4 linked regions of the Stegostoma tigrinum genome follow. Each later gene encodes a partner of the first gene's protein in a complex. Links are inferred from orthologs where the notes say so. Each region holds a gene or a part of one and is shown in the gene's direction. Other genes may lie near its edges. The genes, in order: prpf4, snrpd2, prpf6 and prpf3.

Region 1 (7,712 bases):
ATTAGTGATAAACAGCATGGTTTTGTGTGGAGGAAGTCACGTGTCACCGAGTTAACTGAGTTTTTTTGAGGAGCTTGCGAAGATGTTTAATAAAGGGAAAAGCAGCTGATGTTGTCTACATGGACTTCAGAAGGCCTTTGACAAGGTCACTCATGGCTGACTGATGCAAAAAGTGAAGTCACATATCAGGGATGAGCTGGCAAGATGGGAGACAGAAGGTAGTGGTGGAAGGACGCTTTTCAGAATGGAGGGCTGTGAGTGGTGGTGTTCCACAGGGATCAGTGTTAGGACTTCTGCTATTTGTGATCCACATAAATGATATGGAGGAATACGTGGCTAGTCTTATTAGTAAGTTTGGAGATGATACAAAGATTGGTAGAGTTACAGATAGGAGGATTGTCAAAGGATACAGCATGATATAGATCAGTTGGAGGCAGAGGCAGAAAGATAGCAGATGGAGGTTAATCCAGACAAGTGTGAGGCAATGAATTTGGAACGTCACATACAGGTAGAAATTAAACAGTGAATGTCAGAACCCTGAATGTGAGAGATCTGGGTGTGCAGGTCCACAGATCACTGAAGGTGGCAGCAAGGGTAGATAAGGTAGTAAAAAAGGCCTATGGGATGCTTGACTTCATTAAAAGGGGCATTGAGTATAAGAATAGACAAGTTATGCTGCAGCTTTATGGAACTTCAGTTAGGCATACTGTTCTGGTCACCACACCACCAGAAGGATGTGGATGTTTTGGAGAGGGTACAGAAAAGGCTTACTAGGATGTTGCCTGGCATAGGGGATTTTAGCTATAAAGGAAGGTTGGATAGACTGGGTTTGTTTTCACTAAAATGCAGGAGGCTGAGTCACGACCTGATAGAGAAGTTTAGAAGATTGTGAACGGCATGGATAGAGTGGAAAGTATAAGGGTTGTTTGCAGGGTGGAAGGGTCAATTACTAGGGGACATTGTGTAAAATCAAATATGGTACACTCATTGGAACTCACAGCACGAGTCATTCCTAAAAAATCGAAAGATCAGCTCAATCCTCACCTGTCTTAAATGGGTGACCCCTTATTCTGAAATTATGCTCACTGGTCCTAGATTCTCCCCTACGGGGAGACATGCTTTCCACATCTACACTCTCAAGCCCCCCTCCAAAGTATCTTGTATGTTTCAATTTGGTCACCTTCCATTCTCCTCAAATCAAATGAGTACAGACTCAACGTGCTCAACATCTTCCCAGAAGAACATCCTTCCATACCTGGAATCAACCGAGTGAGCCTCCTTAAGACTGTCTCCAATGCCAGTATATCTTTCCTTAGATAAGGGGACTAAAACTGTTCCACAGCATTCTAGGTGTGGTCCGATTAGTACTTATATAGTTTTAACGAGTTCCCTCTATATTTCACTCCCCCGAAATAAAGGCTAACATTCCATATGCATTCACTATTAATAGCTGAACTTGATAATTTTTTTATGATTCATGCACGAGGACTCCTAAAATGCTCTGTGCTGCAGCTTTCTGTAGTCTTTCCTCATTCAAATAATATTCTTTTCTTCCTGCCCAAGCATGTAGCCTCACATTTTCCCACATTATATTCCAACTGTCAAATGTTTGCCTACTCACAACTTGTCTATATCCCCCTTGCATCGTTGTCCCCTGTAATTTACTCACCTAGCTTGGACAAAGCAAATAAACTCATGTTAGAAAATCAATACATTTCTTCAGTGTGTTCAGGGCAGTTGTTTTACAACAATATGCACTAGAACCAACAAGCAGGCAGGCCATATTAGTTTAATAAATGAACCAGATATTCATTAAGAGCCTAATGGTGCAGGAACATTTACCAAAAGTGATTGTGGAATCTATGGTTTCCCTTTCTCAGCCAAAATTTATTTCCTTTGTAATGTCTCTCCTCTCTTTGCTCACCAGAGTTCATCTTGTTCGTAAGAGCCATCTTGTACTCCCACAGCCCTATTCCCACTATATTACTGACCACCAACTTTCCTTCCTTGCTCACACATTAACTAAAACCACTAATGGTTCTATCTCTTCTGGTTCTGACCCTCTCTCCTTCAAATGTGCCATCATATTTCCCTCATCAAAAAAATACCTTTAATTCCCGCTGCTTGCAAACTGCTGCCCTATCTCTGACCATCCCCATTCCAAAATCCTTTGAAGTGTTTGTGGCATCTCAAATCTGTGCCCATCTTTTCCAAAACTTGAATCCTTCCAATCAACACTGCAATGGCTCTTATTCAAGTCACAAACAACACCTTCTGTGATCACACCACAGGTAAACTATCTTTCTTCATCCTGGCTGTGGCTTTCAACATGGTAGCCATCTTCCTCCAATTACTTTCCTTTGTTGTCCAGTGGGTGAGAGTAGACTGGCCTGATCCCATTCTTATTGCATCATAGCCAGGGAAACCATTGGCAATGACTTCTTTCCATTCCTACAGTGATCTCAGATGTCCCCCAGAGATCTATCTTTGGCCCCCTTCTATTTTTCACTGTACACTGTCCCTTGGCAATCAGTTTCACATCTATCTCACTACTACCTTACTTGAACCCTTCACTGTCTTGACTTTGCCTTCTTGCTACTCTGACACCCAAGATTAAATGGAAGCAGCGATATTGTGCTCCTGAGATGCTGCTTGGCCTGCTGTGTTCATCCAGCTTCACCCTTTGTTATCTTGAACTCTTGCAGCAACTTGGTTTTACTGCCGTCTCTGTTGCAATGTCTGACTCCATTACTACTTCAGCTCTTCTGCCGCTGAAACCCTATCCATGCTTGTTATCTTCAGACTTGACTATTGTAATGCATTCCTCGCTGCTCTCCCACATTCTAAACACTGAATTTGAGGTAACTGAAGTCTCTGATGCCTGCAGTCTAACGTACAGCATTCACCAATCCCTCTTGTACTAGCTGACCCACACAGACTACTAGTTAAACAATACCTTTATTATAGAAAATCTTCATTATTGTTTTCAAATCCCTCCACAGCCTGGACCCTCCTGACGTTCATAACCTTTTCCAATTCTGAGACCTCCAAAATATCACTGCACGTCTAATACAGTTTCAATATCCCTAATTTTAAATCATTCTGAAGAGGACAGGCAGGAATTTTTTAAAAAAAAGGTTCTTCAGGGTAGTAATGTGATAATGGGAACTGCAGATGCTGGAGAATCCAAGACAACAAAGTGCGGAGCTGGATGAACACAGCAGGCCAAGCAGCATCTCAGGAGCACAAAAGCTGACATTTCAGGCCTAGACCCTCCATCAGAGAGCATCCTCTCTGATGAAGGGTCTAGGCCCAAAATGTCAGCTTTTGTGCTCCTGAGATGCTGCTTGGCCTGCTGTGTTCATCCAGCTCCGCACTTTGTTATCTTCAGGGTAGTAATATCTGGAATACTTCCAGTGCCATGAGCTAGTGAGGATAGGAATAGAAGGATACAGCAGATAAATGTATGGCTGAGGAGCTGGTGATGGAGAGGATCCACAATTTTGGATCACTGGAATCTCTTCTAGGGTACAAGTGACCTGCATAAGGATGGATTGCAGCTGAATTGGAAAGGGCCTAATACTCTGCTGGGGAGATTTGCTAGATTTCCTAGGGAGATAGTGAGAAAAGAGGACAGTCCCCAAAACTGGTAGAGATGGGAAAAGGAACAGGTCAGACAGTCAGGAACAAAGCAGAAAACGAGCTATTACGGATGAATTAAACTGCATTTATTTCAATGCAGGAGGCCTAACAGATAACGCAGATGAACTGAGGGCATGGTTGGGAACATGGGACTGGGATATCATAGCAACTATAGAGACGTGGCTCAGGGATGGACAGGGCAGGATGCTTAATGCTCCAATGTATAGATGCTCTAGGAAGGATATAAAGCGTGTGCAGGGGATGGGGGTGCGAGCAAGTGGCAGCAGTATGGGGGGGGTGGGCACTGGGTGTGAGTGCCTGTGCCAGGGTGGGGGTGGTGGGAGTAAGTGCAGGGGGTGTGCAAGTGGCAGGGGTGCATGTGGGGTGTGGGGGTGTGGGGTATGTGTTGGGGGGTGGGGGAATGTGGTGTGTGTGGTGGTGGTGGGGGGGGGGTTGGTGGTGGGGAGGGGGGGGTTGGTGGTGGTGTGGTTCGGGTCTCCTGCCGCCTGACTGAAGTGATTTCCAGGTCCCTTTGTCGGTGCCGTGTCCAGGCGATGGTGGGTCTGGCTCTGGAGGCGGACGGTGAGGCCCAGGCCCAGGCCTAGGCCCCGCTGAGGTTCTGTCGGAGCGAACCTGGCGCCAGCCCTGGCCAAACTCCTGTCACCTTGACACTCACCTCCAACTCCTTCTTCATACTCTCAAACTCCTCAATATCGTCCAGCTTCAGTTCGAGCCGAGTAGGCTTCCTCCGCAACATTCTGCCGCTAGAAGTCACGTCCAACTTGGTCGCTTCAGACCTTACAGGCGACACCTGGCGTCACCACGGCATGGCACACTGGGACATGTAGTTTCTGAGCCGGCGGCGTGGAAATGACTACAACACCCAGCAGCCTGTGCGCCGCCTCCTTACCCTTTGCCCCGGACGCAGTCAGTGTCGGCTTAACGACGGTATAGGAGCTGGTAAGAGGCCGCGCTGAGGCTGGGGGAAGGAGAGATAGAGACAGGAGATAGCCTAAAGCTAGGCCTTGGCTATTGCCGTCAACTCCCCGTCCTTAACCGGGCCTTTATATTGTCAGGTTGGGGAGAAGTCGGTCATTGTGGCTGCTTGTGGGGGAGGGGAGGCTGTACTGTATCAGAAATCACACACAATGCTCTACTTGTGGCTCATAACTTTATTCAACTTCACCGTAAATCCCCTGCTTTTTCCATCAACATTTCTATTTAGGGAGTTCATAACTCCCATGTGCTTGGTTAATCACGCCCTGTGTATGCTGCCACCTGAAGAGTTTAGTGCACGTTGGCACCAAGTCCTCTCCCCTCCCCGTCTCTCTGCGCGCTCTTTAGCACTGAGTCATTAAGTATCTATTTCCTTCTCCCAAACCGTTCTTCCAAAATGAATCGCTTGTTAAATCCCAATCTGCCGGCCTACAATTCTCCGACTGGTAGTTAGAATCATAGAATTCGTACCGTGTGCCAGCATTCGGCCCATCGAGTCCACACCGAGCATCCCTCCCGTATCATCCCCATCTCCCATGGCTAACCCACCTAACCGGAACATCCCTGATGGGCAATTTAGCACCCACCCACCCTACACCTCTTTGGAGTAGGAGGCAGCCAGAACACCCGGAAGAAACCCGTGTAGACACAGGGAGAACGTGCAATCTCCACAAACTCGGGACCCTGGCGCTGAGAGACAGTGCTACCCTGTGCAATTGGTAACATTGTTATCTTTAGTACTGTTTCTAAGTTTGGTATCATTGACAAATTTGGAAATGTTAGTCTTTCAATATTCAAATAACATTTAAAAACCCAAGCAAAATATCTATAATATACCTACAAATTAATCTTTTATAAGATGGGTATGATGACCCTCAAGTTCACCTTAATGTCAACATCTGCTTTTACTTTTGAAATATGTTCAGCTTTGCCACTCAGACCAAAGTGGATAATTTCACATTTCCATCTTCTGCTGTAAGGAACAAGAGATCATCTGATGAGTGATAATGGAAACTGCAGATGCTGGAGAATCCAAGATAACAAAGTGTGAAGCTGGATGAACACACTGTGTTCATCCAGCTTCACACTTTTTTATAAGAGATCATCTGATACTTGTTTGTTATCTGTAGTTAGGAATAGAAGTAGATCATTCACTCCTTTGAGCCCTATTGCACTTACTATTCATTTAGATATTTTTTAATCAATGTATTCAGACATGCTATGGCTAATCTGTACCTCAACTCCAAGATCTACCTTTGCTCAACTTTTCTTGGTACTTTGACAATATAATGATCTTATTAATTCAATAGCTCAAATTGCCCTAAGGTGCATTGCTTTTGATTTGGGGAGACAGTTCCAAATTTTCTGTGATCCTTTTTCTCATCTGCCAGAGCCTTTCTTGATTTTATTCCATGGATGCTTCTGTTGTCTTTGATTCTCTCTCATTTCCTGCTTGTTCCTGTGAAGCTCCAAAAGCATGATCCAAAGATTCTCTCTCCTGGGCTAGAAATCAACACTCGTTCAGTTCTTCCTGTTCCAACTTCTTTCCCAAGGCATCAAAAACCAGAATTCCTATGAGCAACACCCCAATTTAAGCATGCAGATGCATGTACTTGGAGATTAGAGCTAGAGTCAAACAACCTGTCTTTCTCATCTCTTATCTCTGGTCAAAACGGTTTGTTAATTTTATGCATTTTCTACACCCACAGTTTCCTGCCCCATATTACAAGAATGTCTGATGATGATGATGTTCCGTTGCCTAAGAAATCTCGGATTTATTATGGAAGCCTTGAAGAGAAGGAGAAAGAGAGGATTTCCAAAGGAGATGCAGGATACCTGGGGAAAGAAGCTGTGAAAGCTGGGGTAGAAGCTGGACATATTAATATATCCAGCAGTAAGTGATGATGCTTCAGTTTCTTTAACTGTGTCATTGAATAATTACTCCATCTGATTGAGTCAAAAAATGTGGAGCTGCTGAAAAGATTGCTGAGAAATTTTAGAAAGCTGGTTGGGAACAATAGCAATAAGTAACAATTTTAGATGAATTGGGCTTTATTTTGGATGCAAAAGTGCAGAAAGTCTATAACGTTTGAAACACTTCTGGAAATGGCAACAGTTGTAATTAAGAAATTTATGTGCAACAAGTTCACACAAATAGCTAAGTGACGATGGCCTGATAGTCTGATCTTATAAGGTTAAATGATTTTCTGGATACCGTAGAAATATGCTGTATGTTGACTCTTCAGTGGGGATGCAAGGAAGTCCAAGTTAATGCCCAATACCTGCAAATAATGAATGTACAGTTAACAGATTTTCAAAAGAAATTGCATTGAAAATATTCAGGCTGTTCAAAGCAAATGTTGAGAGCATTTTATAGATCTCTTATCTGTGTGAAGTTGCGTATGTGACAACAATTATTGACAGTATTAATCCCTTACCCTACACAACGTGCGAATGGCTGAAATCAAAAAATACACAGCAAAGCTTTGCATTTCAAAATCCCACATTCTCTGAGACTGCTAACAATTTCTTTGCACATGCATTTCGTTTTCTGAAACAGTTGATGATTTACATCCATCCACTTAAGTTTAGAAGTCTTTTTTTCGCCTCTAGCATTTGTTTCAAACCAGCAAGGTCAGTTCAGAACCACTCTGTCACATTTTGTATCCCGTTGTGAACCATTGTCTACGTAACATTCTCTGGGTATACCATTTTCAGGAGTCTTATTGCACAGTATCTGCTTAAAATATTGAAGAAATAGAATCCGATATCCACAGCCTCCATAAAAACCAGTGTTTAAGCAGCCAGTGTACTTTTATAAACACAGGTATAGGAGTAGGCAATTCAGGACCTTGAGCTTGTTCCACGCTCTGAGAGATCATGTCTGATAGAACACAGAACATAGAAAAGTACTGCACAGTACAGGCCGTTCGGCCCACGATGTTGTGCCGTGGAATATTCCTAATCCAAAATTAAAATGACATAACCTACATTCCCCTCAATTCACTGCTGTCCATGTGCATGTCCGGCAGTCGCTTAAATGTCACTAATGACTCTGCTTCCACGACTACCAC
Region 2 (7,722 bases), on another chromosome or scaffold:
AACCCTTCCTATCCATGTACCCATCCAGGTGCCTTTTAAATGCTGTAACTGTACCAGCCTCCTCCACTTCCTCTGGCAGCTCATTCCATACACACACCACCCTCTGTGTAAAATAGTTGCCCCTCAGGTCCCTTTTAAAGCTTTCCCCTCTCACCTTTAACCTGTGCCCTTTAGTTTCAGACTCCCCTATCCTGCGGAAAAGACCTTGACTATTCACCCTATCCATGCCCCTCATGATTTTCTAAATGTCAGCCCTCAACCACTGATGCTCCAGGGAAAATAGCCCCAAATTATTCAAACTCTCCCTGTAGCTCAAAGCCTCCGACTCCAGCAATATTCTTGTAAATCTTTTCTGAACCTTTTCAAGCCTTACACCATCCTTCCTATAGCACTGAGACCAGAAATGAATGCAGTATTCCAAAAGTGGCCTCACCAACGTCGTGTACAACCTCAACGTGACCCTCCCAACTCCTACACTCAATGCACTGACCAATAAAGGTAAGTGTAACAAATGCTTTCTTCACTATTCTGCCTTGATGCAATGTTTGTGTGATGATGTCATGATTTTAAAAGGTTATTTTTGTTCTTTATTTGAAGAGAGGCTGCAAGGCAGAGAGACCGAAACGGCTACTAAGGACAGCTTGAGTAAACAGCTTGTGAGGCCTTGGATTTTTTTTTTAAACAGACTGAATGGGTGTGGCTAGCTCTCATAGATCTACATTTCCAGGTTTTGATTTCTCATTTGCATAAGAAGCCTTTGGACTCTCAAATGAACTGGAAGCTTCAGTGAATGACTCCTAGCTGCTATTCTCTCTGAATTCTCTCTTGATGTTTTTCCTCCTGGATTGGAGAACTGCCTGTGAGAATCTGTATCTGAATTGTCTTTTTGCCAAGGGGGAGTGTTTATGAGTTGTTACTATATTGGTACAGTTAATTAGTAAGAGTTACTGCATCTGTTACTCGATTATGTTTTCCAATCGTTCGTTTGTTTGCGTTTTAACTACAGCGTTTAGATAAATCATGTTTTGTCTAATGTTGAGTAGTTTGACCAGTTGCTTTGTATCTGGAAAGTGACATTTCACATCTATCTTTAAGGTAAGAAAAATTTAGTGTCTAGGCTACCTTCTCAAAATATTTTGAGGTCGTGTGGTCTGGGCCATAAGATTTGTGATTGAAGTATTGCAGATCATGTTTTATATACGTTTGCTTCCTCTATAAATCGAGCATGGTCAACAGGGAAGCTTATCACCACAACCCCATCTATAAACAAAGTTCTGCACAGGTCTCATTGATGATGCAATGATTTGAGACACAACAGGACATAAGGGATGATAAAATGGACACTAGAAATGAGGAAACAGACATAAATCAGAAACAACTTTAAAGTGAAAAAAAACTTTAAACGAGGACTCCCCCTTGGAAGAATATGCTGATAGGATAAGGTGAAAAGAGGTGCAGCATGGACAGTTGGGCTGCAAGGCCTGTTACAGCAAAATATATACAAGAAGGGTTTGAACACTGACGCAAGTAGACTCATACAGCATTGAAATAGACTTTTTGGTTCAATCCATCCATGCCGACCAGATATCCCAGTCTGACCTAGTCCCTTTCGCCAGGGAGGTGATGGCTTAGTGGTATTGTCGCTGGACTGCTAATCCAGAGATCCCGATAACGTTCTGGGGACCCGGATTCGAATCCCACCATGTCAGATGGTGGAATTTGAATTCAATAAAATGTCTGGAATTAAGAATACCCTGATGATTGCTGGAAAACCCCATCTGCTAGACTAATGTCCTTTAGGGAAGGAACCTGCCATCCTTGCCTGGTCTGGCCTACATGTGACTCCAGACCCACTGCAATGTGGTTGACTCTTAACTGTCCTGTGGGTCAATTAGGGATGGCCAATAAATGCTGCCTAGTCAGCACTGCCCTCATCCTGTTAATGAATAAAGAGCATTTGGCCTATATCCCTCTAAACCCTTCCTATTGATGTCCCCATCCAGATGCCTTTTAAATGCTGTAACTGTACCAGCCTCCACCACTTCCTCTGGCAGCTCGTTCCAGACACACACCATCCCCTTTGCAGAAGCCTTCAACATGCCCCTGGTCATGAGCAGGGTGATAAACTCAGAGGGTGTGTGAGGGGGAGAACATATCTGTAGCAGATTTCCTGTGACCTGTAGCCAATATTATCTGCTTGTGAGGGACCTGGTTTCTAACTTTTTATATTTATGGGTTTAGACATTTCATTGGACTCTACTGTTCACACGACTTCAGGTCTACACCTTGTTCACTATCTTCTAACACAACTCTACCTTCTGAATTGTTCTATTGTACATGTCTAAACATCTCGCAGTCACACTCTGACATACAGCATAAAGTAACACTCACGATAATCGCTCCACCCTTTGTAACAGTGACGTTATTAGATCATTTGAATCTTTACTCCCTGATGTTCCATCTCCCCTGACGGTGTAGATTATGTGTAGTGGAGATACCTGTTCTTGTTTTTCCAAGTACCAAGCAAGAGATTGAGGGTTTGCAGGCTGCTTGAAAATGAGGAAACTATTAAGTTCAATTGAGCTTGCTCAGTACATGCACAAACACACATGTACTGCTCTTCCAGAAATACTCTCTTCCTCCCAGACAGGGCCCAACTAACTGAGTACATCGAGTCCTGCAACCTCTGTTGCTCATACACTATACAGCAGTGTGTCTTCCCACTGATTGTAGAGTCACACACTCATAACGTCATACAGCAAGGGAACAGACCTTTCGGTCCAACCAGTCCATGCCAGCCATAATCCCAAACTAAACACGTGCCACCTGCCCACTCCTGGCCCATATCCCTCCAAACCTTTCTCATTCATGTACTTATCCAACTGTCTTTAAATGTTGTAATTGTGCCCACATCCACCACTTCCTCTGGAGGTTCATCCCACACACGAGCCACCCTCTGTGGAAAAAAACTTATCCTTTATGTCTTTTTTTTTAAAATTTGGCTCCTTTCACCTTAAAAATGTACCTCCTAGTCTCAAAATCCTCATTCCTCGGGAAAAGACAACTGCCATTATTATACATACTATCTATACCCCTTAGCGTCCCACTTGATCAGGGTTAAAGGAAAAGAAACATATTGCATCTATATAGCTCCTCTCACAATCCCATGGAGAGCCAAAGGGCCTTCTGACAAAATAAGGAGCCTTGAAGCTGTTGTCAGCAGTCCCTCGATTTGGAGATGACGTCCAATCAGAATTGGGAGCTTCTACCATGGGTGCTCATGTGACTGAACAGGCCGGTTGTCCATCCTCACGTCTTTAAAGGATGACCCGTGAGGTCGGAGAATGCAGATTGCGAAGGATCTGCTTCCTTTCCTCCCCTCTCAACTGTCTCTCATACTGGCAGAAAGAGTGGCGCACCATCTTAAACGATGGGTAGCGAGCTCCTCTCTGTCATTGTCTTTACACTTCAAGGAAAGTGTCAGTGTCTTTATAGACTCCGCACTGATGCCATCATTTCTTTAGAAACAGTTCAGGGAGGATTCAACAGGATGAGATTGTCTTGTGAGCAAAGATTAAGCAGATAGGGGCTGTATACACTGGAGCTTAGAAGAATCAATGATGATCTTGTTGAGACATACAGCATTCTTAAGGAGCAAAAACAGAAGCTTCTGGAAAGGCTCAGCAGGTCTGACTGCATCTGTGAAGAAAAATAGTGTTTTCGGTCCATTGGCTCCTGAAGAAGGGTCCTGACTCAAAACATCAACTTTCCTGCTCTTTCTGATGCTGCCTGGCCTGCTGTGTTCCACCAGCTCCACACTGTGTTAACTTTGACTCCAGCATCTGCAACTCTTACTTTCTCTGAGACTCTGAAAGCCTGTGTCTTCAAATAACCCTGTTGAACTATAACCTGGTGTCATGTGATTTTTGACCTTGTCCACCCCAATCCAACACTGGCACCTCCACATCAGTGAGTTTTGAGAAGATTTGTAGCTCAGGTTCTATTTATAAATAGAAAGCGGGACATAACACCAGCGCTTTGTCGGAGGCTCACTGATGATGTTACCTAGAATGGTGACGAAATGTCTGAAAACGAACCTTCCAGCTCAGCGAGCAAACTCACATCCAGAACCTCCACATCAATTGTAGGCTGATGTGAGCAGGAATTTCTTCTCTCAGAGGGTTGTGAGTTTTTGGAATTCCTTACCCAGTGAGCTGTGGGGGCAGAGTCCTTGTGTATATTTAAGGCAGAGATAGATAGATTCTTGATCAATTGGGTAATCAAGAGATACAGGGAAAGGGAAGGAATGTGGATATGAGGAATGTCAGACTAGCCATGATCCTACTGATGGAGCAGGATTGAGGGGTTGAACTGTCTAATCCTGTTCCTATTTCCGATGGTTACCCAGATGACAGCACCCCATCTTTTGCCAGTCACTTTAAAGCATCAATTAAATCTTTTCAATACCAGACCTAGAATGGGTGTTCAATTTCATTAAATGGCAATGTCCCTTTAAAAACACCTGGCTGTTTGAAGTTGTCATTGCGGAGGCTAGTCGGAGCTGCTGGGGGTTGAAGTCCATATGCTCGCCTCCGCTTTGTTAAAGGGGCACTGACGAACTACAACACCCAGAATGCCCCCGGTTGTAGTCCCGAACGTTGCCTTTCGGACCGGATGAACGTGACGCGGAAACTGCATCTCCCGGCGATCATTGCGCCAGCAGGAAGTTAGTCAACCCCACTTCTGGTGTGAGGCGAAGCGCGGTCGGTTGCGGTTGAAGGAGTGAAGAAGAGGCGACTGGGGGGACATCTAGCACCATGTGAGTGAGAGGTGGAGGGTGATTGAGAGGGGAAGAGAGACAGGGGTAAAAGAGATGCTTCCCCTCTCATCACCCGCTCCTCTGCCGGTAACTCGGGCCCTTTCGCCGGCGTTGCTAAGGCCTGAGGCCTAGCCCGCGCGGGCCCGAAGCCTTTCCCCACCGAGGTGATGGTGGGCACAGATTCTCGGCTCCTACCCTTCCCTCCCATCGCTCAGGGCGGGAGGGGAAGGAGAGGGAGCAGTAGTTCCCAGATTCGCATTCCCTTTCCGCATCTATTACCCCATTTTACTGGTTCTTCAGATACCGGTTCTCACCCGCCGCCTCCCCCTTCCCTGTCCCTCTCCACTCTGACAAAGCTGTTCAGAATCCTTTGAGAAGGTAACAGGGCAAGTTAGACGAAGGTGAACCAGTCGATGTGATCTATTTGGATTTCCAGAAAGCCTGTGACAAAGTGTTGCACAAGAGGCTGCTAAATAAGAGCTCATGCTGTTAGGGGCAAGGTACTGGCATGGATAGAGGATTGGGCTGACTGGCAGAAAGGGTAAAAGGAGCAAATTACTGCAGATGCTGGAATCTGCACTGAAAATGACAAATGCTAGCGATCACAGTGCTCAGACAGCATCTGTGGAGAGAAAGCAAGCTAATGTTTTGCGCTTGCTCTCTCTCTATCCACAGATGCTTTCTGATCCACTGTGACCCTCAGCATTTATTGCTTTCAGTAGGGATAAGGGAACTTTTTCAGGATGGCCCTCCAAGTCTGTGCTGACATGTTGTGTCCTTCCATACTAAAGCTGCCTTTACTTACAGGATCTGTATCCCTCTACTCCCTTCCTAATCATGTATTTGTCCAGGTGCTTTTAGAAAGTTGCTTTTGTGTCTGCTTCTGCCATCATCTCTGACAGCGCATTCCACCCTTTGTGTGAAAAACTTGCTTGGCACATCTCTCTCAAACATCCACACGCTCACAGACATGCACCTTGAATCTGTGTCCCCTAGTAAATGACTCCTCCATCCTGGAAAAAAAATCCTCATCCTTTCCGCTTTATCCATGCCATTCACAATTTTATAAACTTCTGTCATGTTGAGCTTCCCTCCCGCCCCAACCATCTCCTGTGTTCCAGTGAAAACAAACCCAGTCTTTCTGACCTTTCTTGGCTAAAATCTTCCACACCAGGCAAACCTGGTAAATCTTTTCTGTACCCTCTCCAAAGCATCTACATCCTTCTGGCAGTGTGGTGACCAGAACTGTGTGCAATTTTCCAAGTGTGGCCTAACTAAAGTTCTATAGAGTGCAGCATAATGTACTCAACCTTATACTTAATGCCCCTGCCAAGGAAGGCAAGCATGCCATAAGCATTTTTTTGACGACCTTCTGTACCTGTGCCGCCACCTTCAGTGACCTGTGTACCTGCACGCCTCGATCCCTCTGCATAGCAATCCCGTCCAAAAGGGTTCTGCCATTCACTGTATAATTTCCATCTGTACTTGGTCTTCCAAAATGCATCACCTCACATTTTGCTGGACTAAACTCCATCTGCCATTTTTCTGCTCGTGACTCCAACCGACTTATATCCTGCTGTATCCTCTGACAATCCTCAGTTATCTACAACTCCACTAATCTTTATATTATCCACAAACTTAGTAATTAGACCAAACACATTTTTCCTCTAAATCATTTATGTAGATCATGAACAGCACATGTCCCAGTCGTTCTTTTAAGGCTAACATGCAGGTTCATTTGCCAGTTAAGAAGGCACATGCACTGTTATCAATCATTTCAAGAGGGCTAGAATGGAAAAGCAGAGCTGTATTGCTGAAGCTTCATCAGGCTTTGATTAACTGCATCTGGAATATTGTGAACAGTTTTTGGCCTGTATCTAAAGGAGTTCTAAGGTGGCCTTGAGCAGGTCCACTGAAGGTTTACACGAATGATCCCAGGGATGAAGGAATTGTTGTACGAGGAATGGTTGACGACTCTGGATTTGTACTTGACAGAGTTTAGAAGGATGAGGGGGGAGTTTGATTGAAACTTACAGAATGCTGAGAGGCCTGGATGAAGTGGATGTGGAGAAGATATTTCCTCTAGTAGCAGAGACTAGGATACAAGGGCACAGTGTCAGAGTGAATGGATGACCCTTAGAACTGAGATGAGGAGGAGCTTCTTCAGCCAGAAGCTGGTGAATCTGTGGGACTCATTGCCGCGGAGGGCTGTGGAGGCCAAGTCATTGAGTGTATTTAAGACAGAGAAAGATGGGTTGTTGATTGATAGGGGTATCGGGGTAATGGGCAGAAGGAAGGAAAATAATGTTTAGGAACGTATCAGCCACGTTTGAATGGCGGAGCATACACGATAGGCCGAATGCCCTAATTCAGCTCCTATATCCTGTGGCCTTATGGCTGTCACTGCCCCATCCCCATCCATCTTGCCTCACTGCTTCCTCCTAAATTTGTGCTTTCATCACCTTGTTCAAATTACTCAAATTAACTTACCTTATCCAAGCATTTCCTATACTGCTGTTAAGGTAGGGTATTTACACGGTTTCTTTACTGCAGTTGTTGGAACTAGATATCTAGTTCCAGAGTCCGATCCACTGGGTTTAATGTGGTCTGGCATGTTCATTAGCTATTTCTAATTGGGAACCTGATCAACTCATTTTCTTGAAGGCATACAGAGTCTAGCCCGTTCCCCTGACCCGCTAACATGCTCTTTAATGGCAAAATTTACATTTATATAGTGCCTTAATGTTGTAACTGACATACAGAATCTCTCATGAGCATTATAAAACATTGTGACAGTTGTTCAGTCAAATGACCATACATTTGGTCGAATCTTTAAGGGGCATCTGAAAGGGGGAATAGAAAGCCCTAGAGGCGAAGAGCTTTGGGAAGTGAATTCCACATCC
Region 3 (6,858 bases), on another chromosome or scaffold:
AGAGCAAGGAGTTGACTCCAACTGTGTGTTATAGACTGGTATGTTACAACGGTCAGGATTACATGCTGAGGCATGCACTGAAGCTTAGAGCAGCTGCTGCCAAGGCACAGTGGGGAAAGACCACCATCTAAGACCTTTCTGCCAAAGTTAAATAGAGGCCTAAAGTAGTTCTGTACAGTCTTTACATATCTTCTTTTGTCTTTCAAAAATATACTTTATTCATAAAAATCTTTTTATACATATGTAGTTCCTGGAGCAGTTCGATTCTGTATAATCTCAGCATATTGAGAACAAACAAACATTGGAGGTTTGACTCTCCTGACAGTTTCAAAAAGGCCAAAGGCATTTCTTACTTTTGCAAATACAATTTATATACGTTTGATGCACCAGGAGGACCCATAACTGAATGGATCCACATTTGACTTTACATTTTTTTGTTTCAAATATAATATTCAGAAAATACCTTTATACACATTTATAGTCACTGAAGCAATTTGGTTCTGAACAGTAGCAATTGAAGAAACAGTGTGTTTTGCATCAGGGTTTACTGTGGTGAAGGACATGACAAAAAAGGTAGGGAACTTGGGGAAATAAAACGTGATATCTTGAAAAATGTCCATGTTACTGAGGAGAAAGTGCTGGATGTCTTAAAATGTAAAAAGGTAGATAAATCCCTGGGACCTGATCAAGCATACTCAAAACCTCTGTGGAAAGCTAGGTAAGTGTTTGCTGGGCCTAAGCTGAGATATTTGTACCATCAATAGCCACAGGTGAGGTGCCAGAAGACTGGAGGTTGGCTAACATGGTGCCACCATTTAAAGAAGGTGATAAGGAAGAGCCAGGGAACTATAAAGTGGTGATACTGACATCAACGGTGGGCAAGTCATTGGAAGGGATTATGAGGACAGGATTTCCATGGACTTGGAAAGGCAAGGACTGATTAGGGATAGTCAAATGGCTTTGTGTTTGGGAAATCATGTCTCATGAACTTGACTGAGTTTTTTGAAGAAGTAACAAAGAGGATTGATGAACGCAGAGCGGACTTCAGTAGGTGTTTGACAAGGTTCCTCATGGTAGGCTGGTTGGAAAGGTTAGATCACATTGAATACAGGGACAACTAGCCTTTTGGATACAAAAGCACCTTGAAGGTAGGAGACAGAGAGTGGTGGTGGAGGGTTGCTTTTCAGATTGGACACCTGTGACCAGCTGTGTGCCACAAGGATCAGTGATGTTTCCATCACTTTATGTTGATTATATAAATGATTTGGATGTGGACATAGAAAGTATGGTTTGTAAGTTTGCAGATGACATCAAAATTTAGTGTAGCCAACAGCGAAGAAGATTATGCCAGAGTACAAAGAGCCTTGATAAGATGAGCCAACAGGCCAAGGAGTGGCAGATTGAGTTTAATTGAGATAAAAGTTGCATTTTGGAAAGGCAAATCAGGGCAAGGCTTAATAATGAGGCCCTGGGGAGAGTTGTTGAACAAAGAGACCTTAGAGTGCAGGTTCATTGTTCCTTGAAAGTAAAGTAACAGGTAGACAAGATAATGAAGAAGGCATCTGGTATGCTTGTCTTTATTAGTCAATGCATTGAATATAGGAGCTGGGTGGACATGCTGCAGCTATACAGGACATTGCTTAGGCCACTTTTGGAATACTGCATTCAGTTCTGTTCCTCCTGTTATAGGAAGGATGCTGTGAAACTTGAACAGGTTCAGTAAAGATTCCTTAGGATGTTGCACAGGTTGGAGTGTTTGAACTATTGAGATTTGCTGAATAGATTGAGACTATTTTCCCTGGAGCGTTGGAGGCTGAGGAGTGACCTAATAGAGTTTTAAAAATCATTTGTAGCATGGATTGGGTGAATAGGCAAGGTCTTTTCCCTGGGATGGGGGTCCAAAACTAGGCGGCATAGGTTTAAAGTGAGAGCAGAAAGATTTAAAAAGTACCTAAGGGGCAACTTTCTCACAGAGGGTGATGCACATGTGGAACAAGCTGCAAGAAGAAGTGGTGGGGGCAGGTACAATTACAGCATTTAAAAGGCATCTAGATGGCCATACGAATAGTAAGGGTTTAGAAGGATATGCCAGCAAATGGGACTAGATTAATTTAGGACATCTGGTCAGCATAGATAAGTTGGACTGAAGGGTCTATTTCCATGCTGTACAGCTCTTTGTCTCTATGACTCACCCAGCTATGCTATCCCTGTAACCATGAATTTCCCATGGCTACTCTACTTAGACACTATGGGCAATTTAGCATAGCCAATCGACCTAACCTGCACATCTTTGGACTGTGGTTGGAAACCAGAGCACCCAGAGGAAACCTATGCAGACACAGGGAGAATATGCAAACTCCATTCGGTCGCCGAAGGGTGGAACTAAACCCTGGTCCCTGGTGCTGTGAAACAGCAGTACTAACCACTGGACACGGCAAAAGGCTCTCTACAACACAGAAACAAGGCAGGAGAGAACAAGCAGCCTTGACTGACTCTAGATCTGATTGGAAAACTTTCTGATTCCCACCGATTGTTTGAGTCTGCAGTATTGATGTTGGTGTAGAGCCATTAGATCCAATTCGGATTTTCTTCCCAAAGCCCATTTAGAGAGAACATCCCGCATCGTGTCAAAGTCCTTTTCCTGGTCCGGGCTGATGAGGCAGGACCCCTGTTCTGCTTGTAGGTGATCATATGCCTGAGGAGCATGAGGCTGTCAGAAATTGTCCTGCCCAGTATAGCACAAGTTTTGTCCGGGTGAATCACTGATCCCAGAGTCATCCTGACATGACTGGTTACCAATATCTAATTTCTACCCATCCTCCCTTCGACTTTGAGATGAGGGTGATGACACCTTCCCCGTGGATTCTGACTTGCTGCCTGACAGAAACTTACTGTTGTATGCTATCTTGTTTTTATTTCAAAAATATTCATAAAAGTAGTTTGGTTCTGCACAGTTGCATATCAAGCAAGCAATCTAATCTAATCAAACAAAATACTTTCTGAAGAAGGGTCCTGACCCTAAATGTCAACTTTCCTGTTCCTCTGATGCTGCCTGGCCTGCAGTGTTCCTCCAGCTCCAAATTAGACCATAAGACATAGGAGTGGAAGTAAGGCCATTCGGCCCACCAAGTCCACCCCACCATTTAAATCATGGCTGATGGGCATTTCAACTCCACTTCCCTGCACTCTCCCCATAGCCCTTGATTCCTTCTGAGATCAAGAATTTGTCGATCTCTGCCTTGAAGGCATCCAGCATCCCAGCCTCCACTGCACTCCGTGACAATGAATTTCACAAGCCCACCACTCTGGCTGAAGAAATGTCATCTCATTTCAGTTTTAACTTTGTGTTGCGTCTGACTCCAGCATCTACAGTTCTTGTTATCTCCAAACAAAACATTAAACTTTGACTCTATCCCTAAACAACCTCTGTTACACAAAACTGGTATTCACATCTTTTTGAGAGTCTGACAACTGAATTACCTCCCTTCAGCTGAAAGACTTCAGACATGGTTTCTACATGCAATCAGTACTTCTCTGAGTTTCACTCTTCAGTTTTTAAATTTATTGCTTTTCCTCTGGTGAGAAGCTATCCTAGTTGCTTCATGGTGATTGGTTTGAGTTGGGAAAACTCAGTTTGGAGGCCAATATTTCAAGGAGTTGGTCACTGCAATAATCTGGTAGCTGCATTTGCTGCTGTCTTCCAGGTCCAATGTCAGAGAGCTGCTCAGGTATGTAAATAAGACGTAAACGAGGAGTCCCGATATGTTAATAAGATGATCACGTGCTCCTGCCGCGCTCCTGCCGTAAAGGCTTATGGGACTAATTCCTGCTTGCAAGATGGCGGCGGCGGTAGCAGCATCTTCGGTTGCTCCTGGCACTGGTACAGCTGCTGCACCGAGTGGGGTGAGCTCGGGGGGTCCAACCCTCACCGGGACCCTTAACAAGAAAAAGAAGCCGTTTCTGGGCATGCCTGCGCCTCTCGGTTACGTGCCGGGTTTGGGCAGAGGGTGAGTTTAATTCTGCATCTTCTGCTTTTCCTCCGTGGTGCTGCCTGTAAGTAAACACGCCAACCGCGACGCACCAAGGTGCCTAATTTAAGGATTGAGGCTGATCGCCGTAACTGTTCACACAGGCCCTGAAACGGTACCTTAGAGTCTGTTTTGTTTCTTATATATACTAGTTCAATTCTGCTACCATTTAAATTTTATATAAACATAGGAGCAGAAGGAGGCCCTTCGAGCCTGCTTTGCCATCCTTCACGATCGTGGATGATCGTCCAACGCAATAGCCTAATCCTGCTTTCTCCCCATAAACTTTGATCCAATTCGCCCCAAGTGCTATATCTAGCCAAATAAAAACCCAGAGAACTGCGGATGCTGTAAATGAGGAAGAAAAACTGATGAGATGCTGGGAAAGATAACTGTGGAGCTGGAGGAACACAGCAGGCCCGGCAGCATCAGTGGAGCAGCAAAGCAGGAAACATCACCTCCACACAGTGTTATCTCTGACTCCAGCATTGGCAGTTCTTTCTATCTTGGAGTTGCTGGAAAAGCTTAGCAGATCTGGCAGCATCTGTGAAGGAAAAAAATGAGAGTTCACGTTTCGGGTCCGATGACCATTCTGAGTTCCACCGGACTCAAAACATTAACTCTGATTTTTTTTCTTCACAGATCCTACCAGACCTGCTGAGCTTTTCCAGCAATTTCTGATTTTGTTTGAGATAACAAGGTGTAGAGCTGGATGAATACAGCAGGCCACTTTGCATCAGAGGAGCAGGAAAGCTGACGTTTCAGTTTTCTGTAGAAGGGTCTAGATCCGAAACGTCAGCTTTTCTGCTCCTCTGATGCTGCTTGACCTGCTGTATTCATCTAGCTCTACACCTTGTTACCTCAGACTCTCCAGCGTCGACAGTCCCCACTATCTCTTCTGTTTTTGTTTGTTCTATCTAGCTACCTTTTGAATACATTCAATGTTCTGGCATCAATTACTTCCTGTGGTAATGAATCCCACAGGATCATCACTCTGTGTGAAAAAATGTCTCCTCATCTCTGCCCTAAATGGCCTACCATGAATCCTCAGACTGTGATCCCTGGTTCTGTACACAGTCACCATTGGGAACATCCTCCCTGCATCAACTCTTGTCTAGTGTTGTTGTGATTTTATGTCTCTATGAGACACCACCCCCCCCCCAACTTTGCCTGAACTCCACGGCAAACAATCCTAACCTAGTTAATCTGTCCTCATACGTCAGTCCTGCTATCCCAGAACCAACCTCTTGTTGAAAACCCTGATTTATGCAAAAATGTCAGATGGGTAGTTTGTCTTCTTAAAGAAAATAACACAATATTCAACAGTGTGATAAAGCAACACCTCGTCCTATCCTATATTTCCTTGTGGCTGCACTTTGCAACAAGGAGCTGCAAGCTGTGAAGCCACCAAGCAGTTAAAAAATGGAACATATTGCAGCTTAAATGAGGATTAGTTTCAGATACCGAAACCCTGAGCCCAGATGATGTCTGAAAGATGTTGGGTGAATTTGTTTCACTATATTTTTCAAGATGCCCTCAAGTCCTGAACAAACGTTAATGAACTTATTAAAGTTTGCAAGGTAATGTTGAGCAATTTGACCTGTCCCCCATATGTGGGATTTAATGTTATAATCCAGAAGTGGTGAATGTCGCTGTATCCAGTTGTTTCCTTACCTGACATAAGCCAATATAAGAGTTGATTCTGGGAGGTGTTTTAGGACTAGGCCATTCGCCTCCTTAAACCTGCTCTGATGTTCAATAAGGCAATGGTTCATCAGATGATAATTTCATTTCCACTTTCTTGTTTACCATATAACCCTTGATTCCTTTGTCGATCAAATTGTATTTAACTTGATTTTGAATGTTGTCAATGATCCAGCTTCCACTGTTCTCTGTGGAAGAGAATTGCACGGAGTAATGGCCTACCAAGAAAAATGAAAATTCTCATTCTTAAGTAGGCAACATTGTATTTTAAACTATATCCCCTAATTCAAGTCTCTACAACAAGAGGAACCATTACCTCAAATTTTTTATGTTTTCATCGGACGTACATATACACGTGAATTAAGAGCAGGATTGTGCCTTTTAATGCCTATAACATTGAATAATTTTTCATTTGCCATTGAATAATTTGATCATGAGCTCAACTCCACATCCACACCACCTTTATGACAATTAACTCCCTAATTAAGAATCTGTCTATCTTGGCCCTAAAAGTGGTCAGTCATCCTGTATCCTCTGCTCTCTGAAATAATTCTAAAGGCAGGCAACCCTCGTTTTAAAAAAAAATCCTCCTACGTCTTAAATGAGACCCTTTTTAGTTTTAAACTGTGTTCCTAGTTCTAGTCTCTCCTAAAAAATAAAATATCCTTTTAATGTCCACCCTATCAGGTCCCCTCAGGATCTCGTACATTTCAGTAATTTGTTCTCGTGTCCAGTAGGTAAAGCCTCAACCTTTTCTCATGAGAAACAGTTAATCCCCAATCGCCATTCAGCTGTCAAATGAACCTTCGCTGAACGTGTACATCCTTTCTTAAATCCGAACTGTGTACAGTACTTCAAGTGTGGCCTCACAAACACTCTATAACTCAAGCAAAATATTTCCAGTTTCTTTTTCAATGAGATCAGCTCTAATTCTTAAGGTTCAATGTGTACGTGCCAATCTTTCACCATAAGACTCTTCCTTTATCCCAGAATCAACCAGCTGGACTACTTCTGCTGTGCTATTAATGTGGTTACATCGTTCCTTAAATAAGGACGCCAAAACTTCTAGATCTGGTCCTACCAGTGCCTGTACAAAGTTCAACCTCCTCACCCCACTTTTATAATT
Region 4 (7,373 bases), on another chromosome or scaffold:
GGAATGGGCACTGTCAGAGGGTCAGTGCTGAGGGAGCAGGCACTGAAGGAGGCTCAGTACTGAGGGAGCGGGCACTGTCGGAGGCTCAGTACTGAGGGAGCGGGCACTGTCGGAGGGTCAGTGCTGAGGGAGTGGGTACTGTCGGAGGCTCAGTGCTGAGGGAGCTGCACTGTTGGAGGGTCAGAGCTGAGGGAGTGCTGCACTATTGGAGGGTCAGCACTGAGGGAGCGGCACTGTTGGAGGGTCAGTGCCGAGGGAGCGGCACTGTTGGAGGGTCAGTGCTGAGGGAGCGGGCACTGTCAGAGGCTCAGTGCTGAGGGAGTTGTCACTGTCGGAGGGTCAGTGCTGACAGAACCTCGTGCCAGTCTGTTGTCTGGTTCCAGGACCTGGGGTGAGGGGGTGCTTTGCTGATGAGGCTGTCAAATCTCAACCTGGGTGCCGTGTGGTCAGGGTTCTGTGGGGACAGATCTCCTTGGCAGATTCAGACAGTCCCTCACCTCCATCCCAAGTAACCACATTCCACATTAACTAGGCCTCCCTCAAGTCTGGAAGAAATGGGAACGGGGTGGATGGGATGGATGATAGGGGAAAGGCAGGGGAGATAATGGGTGGGGGAAAGGGAGGGGGAAAAGAGATGTAGGAACTGGAGAGGCATTGAAGGGGAGGGGAGAGGCTAAAACTGACAGAGGGGGAAGTGGTGAAGGTGGAAGGGGGGCAGGATGGGGATTTTGGGGAGAAGGGATGGAGATGAGCAGCAGAAGGAATGGGGGGGTGCATGAGGAATGGGAAGGACGTTGGAAAGGTGAGGGGAAGGGTTGGAGAGGAGGGACAAGGTGGGGGTGAAAGGAAGGTGGGAGTGAGTTGAAATCGATGCAGCAGGATGGTGAAAGGTAGCAGGGAGTGTGGAAGTGAGTGGGGTGGCGGAATGGGAGAGGGATGGGGTAGGGAATGGGGATGGGGGTCTTAAAGGGGGGTGGAATGGGATAGAGGGGGTAAATGGATGAGGGATAGGGATAAAGAGGGAGGGTTTGGAGGTGCCCAAAGGGTGGGTGAAGCAAGAGAGGGTGGTATTCAGCCCCTCAGGCCTGTTATGCAGTGTCGTAAGAGTCTTTTCACTTTTCTGTATTTTTATTAGTGGACTGAAATGAGAGAAGAACTCTTTTAAAACCAAGGATTGCTGAAAGGCTACTGTTATGCTCTTTGAAAGCAAGCAACCTGACACTTATTGGAAGTGTTTCAGAGACAGAAGGAAGTGCCGATGCTGGAGAATCCGAGATAACAAGGTGCAGAGCTGGATGAACACCACAAGCCAATTAGCATCAGAGGAGCAGGAAAGCTGACATTTGGGTTTAGACCCTTCGGTCCTGACCCGAAATGTCAGCTTTCCTGCTCCTCTGATGCTGCTTGGTCTGCTGTCTTCGTCCAGCTCTACACCTTGTTTTCTCTCATTGGAAGTACTGTTTGCACAGCTGCTGGTTCAAACAGGAGGAGGAGAAGGTGCAGACACAGCACAGGCAATGGTGTATACAAATGGAGATACAGCTGGCCACAAGTCTGTCAACTAGTGTCCAGTTATCAATGACAAAGATCTGCGATTGGTTCTCAAGTAGCTGAACTGCTTGAGGTTGTGAACAAGACATGGTGAGAGGCCATCTGATCTCCACCAGCTCAGGAATTATTTTTGTTCTCTTTCAGCCTCCAGATAAATTCTTCTTCTTACCAGGGAGGCTTTTACACGTCTCTGAAAGTACTTTTTCTTTGATCTCCACCATCAAATCACCCATTAAACCAAAGAAAAAGTTTATTTATTAGATAGGATTCATTTCATAGAAACCCTACAGTGTGGAAGCAGGCCATTTGGCTCATCGAGGCCACACCAACCTTTTGAACAGCATCCAACCCAGACACAAACCCTGCCCTATCCCTGTAACCCTGCTTTTCCCATGGCTAATCCCTCTAAGCCTGCATATCCCTGGACACTATGGGCAACTTAGTGCGGCCAATCCACCCAGCCTGCACATCTTTGGCCTGTGGGAAGAAACCCACGCAGACACAGGAATAATGTGCAAACTCCATACAGCCCAAGGCTAGGTCCCTGGCGCTGTGAGGCAGCAGTGCTGATCACTGAATCACCGTACTGTCCTTCAGCAGTGCAGTATGCTGCGAATTTTAAGTAAAGAATCAGAGACCATCTTTAAGTGAACCAGCTTCCTTCAAATCAGTGAAAACCTCCAGTAAAGGAAGATTGAGAAACAGCGTTCTGATCAGCACAAGAACCATCCCAGCAGGTCCTGTGAACAGAGAGCACGAAACTGTTTTCTCAGTTTTCCTTCCATCCAAAACACTCATTTTTTCCCCCAAATTTGTGCTTAGAGGGGTTTATAAGTGGATTTAGAGTTTTAATTAGTAGTTAATTTTTATTCCTCTTTTGGTATCTAAGATTTAATAAAGTACCTTTATTACCTAAGATGGTGCCACAAGAGGCAACATTGAACACTTTTCACTGTTCTTCTATACTTTAGTACACATGACAATAAAATCTAATTCTATTTGTTGATGGTTCAAAATTGTTTACCTGTAGTTAGAGTCTATTTACTTCTAATATATAGTCATATTCTTGTTAAATATGGAAACCTGGTCTGTTCTTTCTGTCAACCTGGGAGTAAAGGTCAGGTAAATTGGAGAATTTGGCATATGTTTTAAAATCTTTAGCTTTTGTGATGACCCCAGAAGAGTGAGGCTTGATTTCTAGCATGCTACCCAGTGAGGTGTAACAACTGGAATAGGAAGAAGTCACTGAGATCCTCTGTTCTGACATTTAATGCGAACGTGACTGATCTGCATTTATTAACTTCATCCACATGCATCCATTTTCCTACATACACAAACAATTTCAAAATTTCAATGAAGCATTCTTAGGGCCCTTGGCGTGGTCATTAACTTTGCAATGGCACTTACTAAAAAGAGTGCAAATTCAGTAACTCAAATCTCTGATACTTTATTCCCACTGGATGAAAGATGGCCTAGTGGACTGTAAGGCTCATCTTCAGATACGTCAGTTGCAAATCCTGGGATTTTCGGTAAATGATGCAGCAGATGTGGAATCTACACAGGTGCAAGGAAAGAAACCAAATTGGGAAGAATCTGAAAATTCCAGCTTTGTCAGGGATGCTCTAGATCAGGTTCAGATTCCTGGTGAAATTCTGTTTTTTGGTAGGTGTGAGATTCCAGGAATTTTCAGATCTTCCAAATTCTTTCTCAAAAGGCTCACTGTAAACCCATTCGTGAATCTATTCAAGTTTGATGGAACTTCTTGAATCCTGGATTCAAACTTAGGAATCCTGATACACCTTCTCTGTGAGATTCTGGGGTAATTTTTGTTTTCAGGGTTGTCAAATTCCCCCACATCTGGGCATTTCCTTGCATGCCTGGACGTTTGTTTCACAGTTGCTAAATTTGCAGCAAAGCTCTGGAATTTTCTGGAATGATCCAGACCTTCCCTGCAACTGATCTTGTAGAGTTCTGGGTACTCGCTTGGAATTTTCAGGAGCCATTTGGTTGCAATCTTCTGGGACAATCTGGGGTACTCCTGGGGACGATTTGTGAAAATTTCCATAATGTTCTGACGCTTCCCTGGAACTGATCTTGTAAAGGTATTCCCCTGGAATATCCTGTAACAATCCAGGCCTTTCCCTGGAAATTATCTCCTTGAGTTTCAACGTTCCCCAGGAATATTCTGTATATTTCCCTGGAACTGATCTTTTGAGAATTCCCATCTTCCCCTGGAATAGTCAGGAACATTCTGGGGCCACGGAATATTCCAGAACTTTCTGTTGACTGTGTCCAGCCTGGTTCTACTCCGAATTCCGATTTATACATGGAGTTAGGTGTGTTGGAACTTTCCAGAACTCACCAGAGCATTCCTCTGGATCTGTATCTGAAATTATTTTACGGTACATTTCCATCCTTTCTCCAGGAATGCTTTTGTTTGGGGAGGGAGACTATTTTTCTGTTTCTTTCTGTTTGGAAAGGCTGGATCCCGCTCTGGAATGTTCTAGAACACGCTAGGCCTTTGCCCCTGTGATGTTCTAGTACAATTCTGGGACAATGTCCTTCTTACACCACCCCAGATTCCTCTGTTTTTTTCCAAAACATCGTGGCTGGGGTTTGTCGAAAACAACACACGTTCCCCCCAAACGGTCCTTTGTGATGTTCTAGAAGCGTCTGGAAAGTTCGGGGCAACCCTCTGGCGCCTTCCCGCGGTCAGGAGGACGAAGCGGAACCTTTCTTCTCCCGCCGCCCCCAGTCTTCCCCAAAACAGATGCATCGCGCCCAATCGGGGAGTGCATTCGTTGTTACACTCGGCCCCGGACGGTTTTGAGTGTGGCGCCAGCGGACTTCCGGTGAGGCCGGTGTGCTGTGCCGAAAAGGTACGAGGGAGCTGGCGGGGAGGGGAACGAAGGGGGAAGGTTGAGGAGGGGGGCACCGGCTTCCGGGTCCGGGAGGACGGTTGAGCCGGGGACACCGGTTTCCGGTTCCCGACCCCTTTTCTCTCACTCCCCGTCTGTTCGCGGGACAGTCGTCGCAGCGGGTGAGTGAGGCCTGAGGCCTGCGGCCTGCGCCTGTTGTGTCGGGGGGGGGGGGGGCAGTAGGCTTGGCGCGGGGTAGTATCCACCATCGCCATCCTCACATCATTAACAGCCTCAATGTGGCACTCGGACGAGGTCCTGGGGCCTTTGCCCTCCCATTACACCCCCCCCCACTCCATCCCCTAACCCCAACGCCCTCCCCTCCTCACTCCACTCCCCCTCCCCCCTCCCCACTCCACTCCACCCCCCCTCCTCCCCACTCCACTCCACCCCCCCTTCCCTCCCCATCCCCCTGGCCCACCCCACCTTCTAATCCCCCCCCCCCCCGACCGTGTGGTCCCCTATTACCACCACCACTACTCTCCCCGACCCCTCCAGCCCTTCCTCCTGCTCTCCCTCTCTTCATCCCCTTCTCCCCCCCACCCCCCACCCACCCCCCCACCCCCACCCCCACCCCCCCACCCCCACCCCCCCACCCCCACCCCCCCACCCCAACCCCCCCACCCCAACCCCCCCACCCCACCCCCACCCCCCCACCCCACCCCCACCCCCACCACCCCAACCACCCCCACCACCCCCACCCTGCTGCTCCCTCCAGACTTGAAGGAGGGGCTGGGTTAGTGTGGGATATGGCTAGATGGGGATGGTGGTGAAAGACTGTCTGAATCTACCGAAGAGATCTGCGCCCCATTGATCCCTCCACTCCAGGGCACCTGGAGGGGGTGGGGGTGACGGTGGTGATCTGGCACCCTCATCAGCAAAACACCGCACATGCACACGCGCGCACGCACACACACACACCCGTGAGTCAGACTGGCACCAACCACCGGTTCCCTCAGCACTGCTCCTCCGATAGTGCAACGCTCCCTCAGTGCTGATGCTCTGTCAATCACCTGCCAGGACCTGTATTATTCTTTGGTCCTGAGAGCTCCCAGTCGCAGGATGAAGATTATGGGTTCCAACCTAATTTTGAAATGAATTTCAGCATAGAATTCAACACCGTCCTTGTGACGAGAGAGCGGCCTGTTGCTGTAGAACATGAGAGATCCTGTTGTGCTGTCTACATTAAAATGTCAATTCCTGTGAGCTGACCCATCATTGTCCCTGATCAGAACTCCCATGTGCTAACCCTACTCCCAATCTCCCGCACAAGTGTCTTCACATATTCTGTCATTGACATTTGATGAGTGGTTCTACATTGGTGGTGGAGTAAAGGTGGTTGACCAGCTGGCTTTCAGTAAACACTGACGGCCAGTGACCCTGACTAACTGCTCCCTCCTGCCCTCTTGTAGCCATGACGTAATTGGCCAGAAGCTCTTCCAGGCACAAGACGAATTGATGAAAACCAAGTTTGATTAATGCCTACCTCCCACCATGCATTCACAATCATTTCGTTGATCAACCAGTTGTGGAATCATTCAGGCTGGTTTTTGATCTTGTATTATACAGGGTTAACTAATAACTTTATAGGGTATCTGAGGAAGAGTGATCGTAACATGGTCATGACACTGGGAATAATTTTGTTAAGTCATAACCTAGGGTCTGAAGAGGGTTATTGGACTCACACGTTAATGACATTTTCTGCCCATAGATGTTGCTAGCCCTGCTGAGTTTCTGTTAATTTCTACATTTGAATTAGGCTCTTAAGTCTGAGCAAGGTGAACGGTGTACAAAGGCAAATTTGACCTCAACAGATTGGAACAAAATCATGATCCAAAATCAAAATGTTGCAGATGTGGGAAATCACTGATAAAAACAGAAAATACTAGAAGCTCTCAGTAGGCACGTTGGCATTCGAAGGAAACTGTTACAAAATCCATGATGTATTAAAAGATATTTAAATTTTATATATAATTTGTGGTAAATACATTTTAGAACATAGAACAGTACAGCACAGGAATGGGCCCTTCAGCCCACAACGTTCTTCCGAACATGACTGCAAATTAAATTCACTCTTTCTGTCTGCTCGTTGTCCATATCGCGCTCCCCCCCCCATTCCTTGCATATTCATGTGCTTATTTAAAAGTCCTTTAGATGGCCCTATTGTATTTGCCTCCACCACCCCAGCAGCATGTTCTAAACTACTAGCGCTGTCTGTGTCTAAAAAAAATGCCCCTCACACCTCCTTTGAACTTCTCATTTGCATCTTAAATACATGCCCCCTAGTTTTCATCACTTCAAATCTGGGGAAAAAGATTCTGCCTGTCAACCCTATCTATGCATCTCATAATTTAAAAGACTTCTATCAAGTCTGCCCTTGCTCTCTGGAGCAGTGGAAATTAATCTGAGTTTTTCTAGCCTCTCCTTATAGCTCATATCCTCTCATCCAGCTAGCATCCAGGTAAACCTCTTCATAGCCTCCACATCCTTCCTGTAATGTGGAATAACTACCAAACAGGATAAGCAGTCAAACCACATGATGTTATAAGGTTTGGTACAGATTAAATGACGTGTATCAAGTTGAGAATTGGGAGGACTTTAGAATTCAGCAAAAAATGACAAAAATAATTGATGGAGGAGATTGCATGTGTAATTGTAGAAAAATGAAAAGAGCCTTCTGTAAATATATAAAATGGAACCAGCTGTTGAAAGTAAACGTGGGGAACAAGGAAACAGCAGCGACATCAAGCACAGGTTTTGTGTCTGTCAGCCATGGCAAGTGGAAAGAGTCTGACCCCTGACTTGGGAGGCTGGGATCAAGTTCCCTTCTCCTCTCCAATGTGAGCACAAATACGCTGCAGTGTGTTCACCAGTAGGCTGAGTAAAAAAAGTGTTGGGTATTTG

The links.
Region 2: prpf4 (region 1) and snrpd2 share a complex: the UniProt entries of both Homo sapiens proteins name them as parts of the U4/U6-U5 tri-snRNP complex. The link is inferred for Stegostoma tigrinum from reciprocal best matches to the Homo sapiens genes PRPF4 and SNRPD2.
Region 3: prpf4 (region 1) and prpf6 share a complex: the UniProt entries of both Homo sapiens proteins name them as parts of the U4/U6-U5 tri-snRNP complex. The link is inferred for Stegostoma tigrinum from reciprocal best matches to the Homo sapiens genes PRPF4 and PRPF6.
Region 4: prpf4 (region 1) and prpf3 share a complex: the UniProt entries of both Homo sapiens proteins name them as parts of the precatalytic spliceosome. The link is inferred for Stegostoma tigrinum from reciprocal best matches to the Homo sapiens genes PRPF4 and PRPF3.

The regions. Positions count from the first base shown.
Region 1 is NC_081382.1:5,538,338-5,546,049, reverse strand, and holds the start of prpf4 (U4/U6 small nuclear ribonucleoprotein Prp4), read left to right. Parts: upstream 1-4,705; 5' UTR 4,706-5,205; coding exon 5,206-5,357; intron 5,358-6,347; coding exon 6,348-6,532; intron 6,533-7,712. Other genes in the region: anaphase-promoting complex subunit CDC26, read right to left, coding at 4,319-4,399. UniProt on the Homo sapiens protein: Plays a role in pre-mRNA splicing as component of the U4/U6-U5 tri-snRNP complex that is involved in spliceosome assembly, and as component of the precatalytic spliceosome (spliceosome B complex).
Region 2 is NC_081392.1:12,359,305-12,367,026, reverse strand, and holds the start of snrpd2 (small nuclear ribonucleoprotein Sm D2), read left to right. Parts: upstream 1-4,704; 5' UTR 4,705-4,817; coding exon 4,818-4,819; intron 4,820-7,722. UniProt on the Homo sapiens protein: Plays a role in pre-mRNA splicing as a core component of the spliceosomal U1, U2, U4 and U5 small nuclear ribonucleoproteins (snRNPs), the building blocks of the spliceosome.
Region 3 is NC_081372.1:31,363,169-31,370,026, forward strand, and holds the start of prpf6 (pre-mRNA-processing factor 6), read left to right. Parts: upstream 1-3,837; coding exon 3,838-4,007; intron 4,008-6,858. UniProt on the Homo sapiens protein: Involved in pre-mRNA splicing as component of the U4/U6-U5 tri-snRNP complex, one of the building blocks of the spliceosome.
Region 4 is NC_081400.1:2,579,767-2,587,139, forward strand, and holds the start of prpf3 (U4/U6 small nuclear ribonucleoprotein Prp3), read left to right. Parts: upstream 1-4,358; 5' UTR 4,359-4,430; intron 4,431-4,485; exon of another isoform or gene 4,486-4,591; intron 4,592-7,373. UniProt on the Homo sapiens protein: Plays a role in pre-mRNA splicing as component of the U4/U6-U5 tri-snRNP complex that is involved in spliceosome assembly, and as component of the precatalytic spliceosome (spliceosome B complex).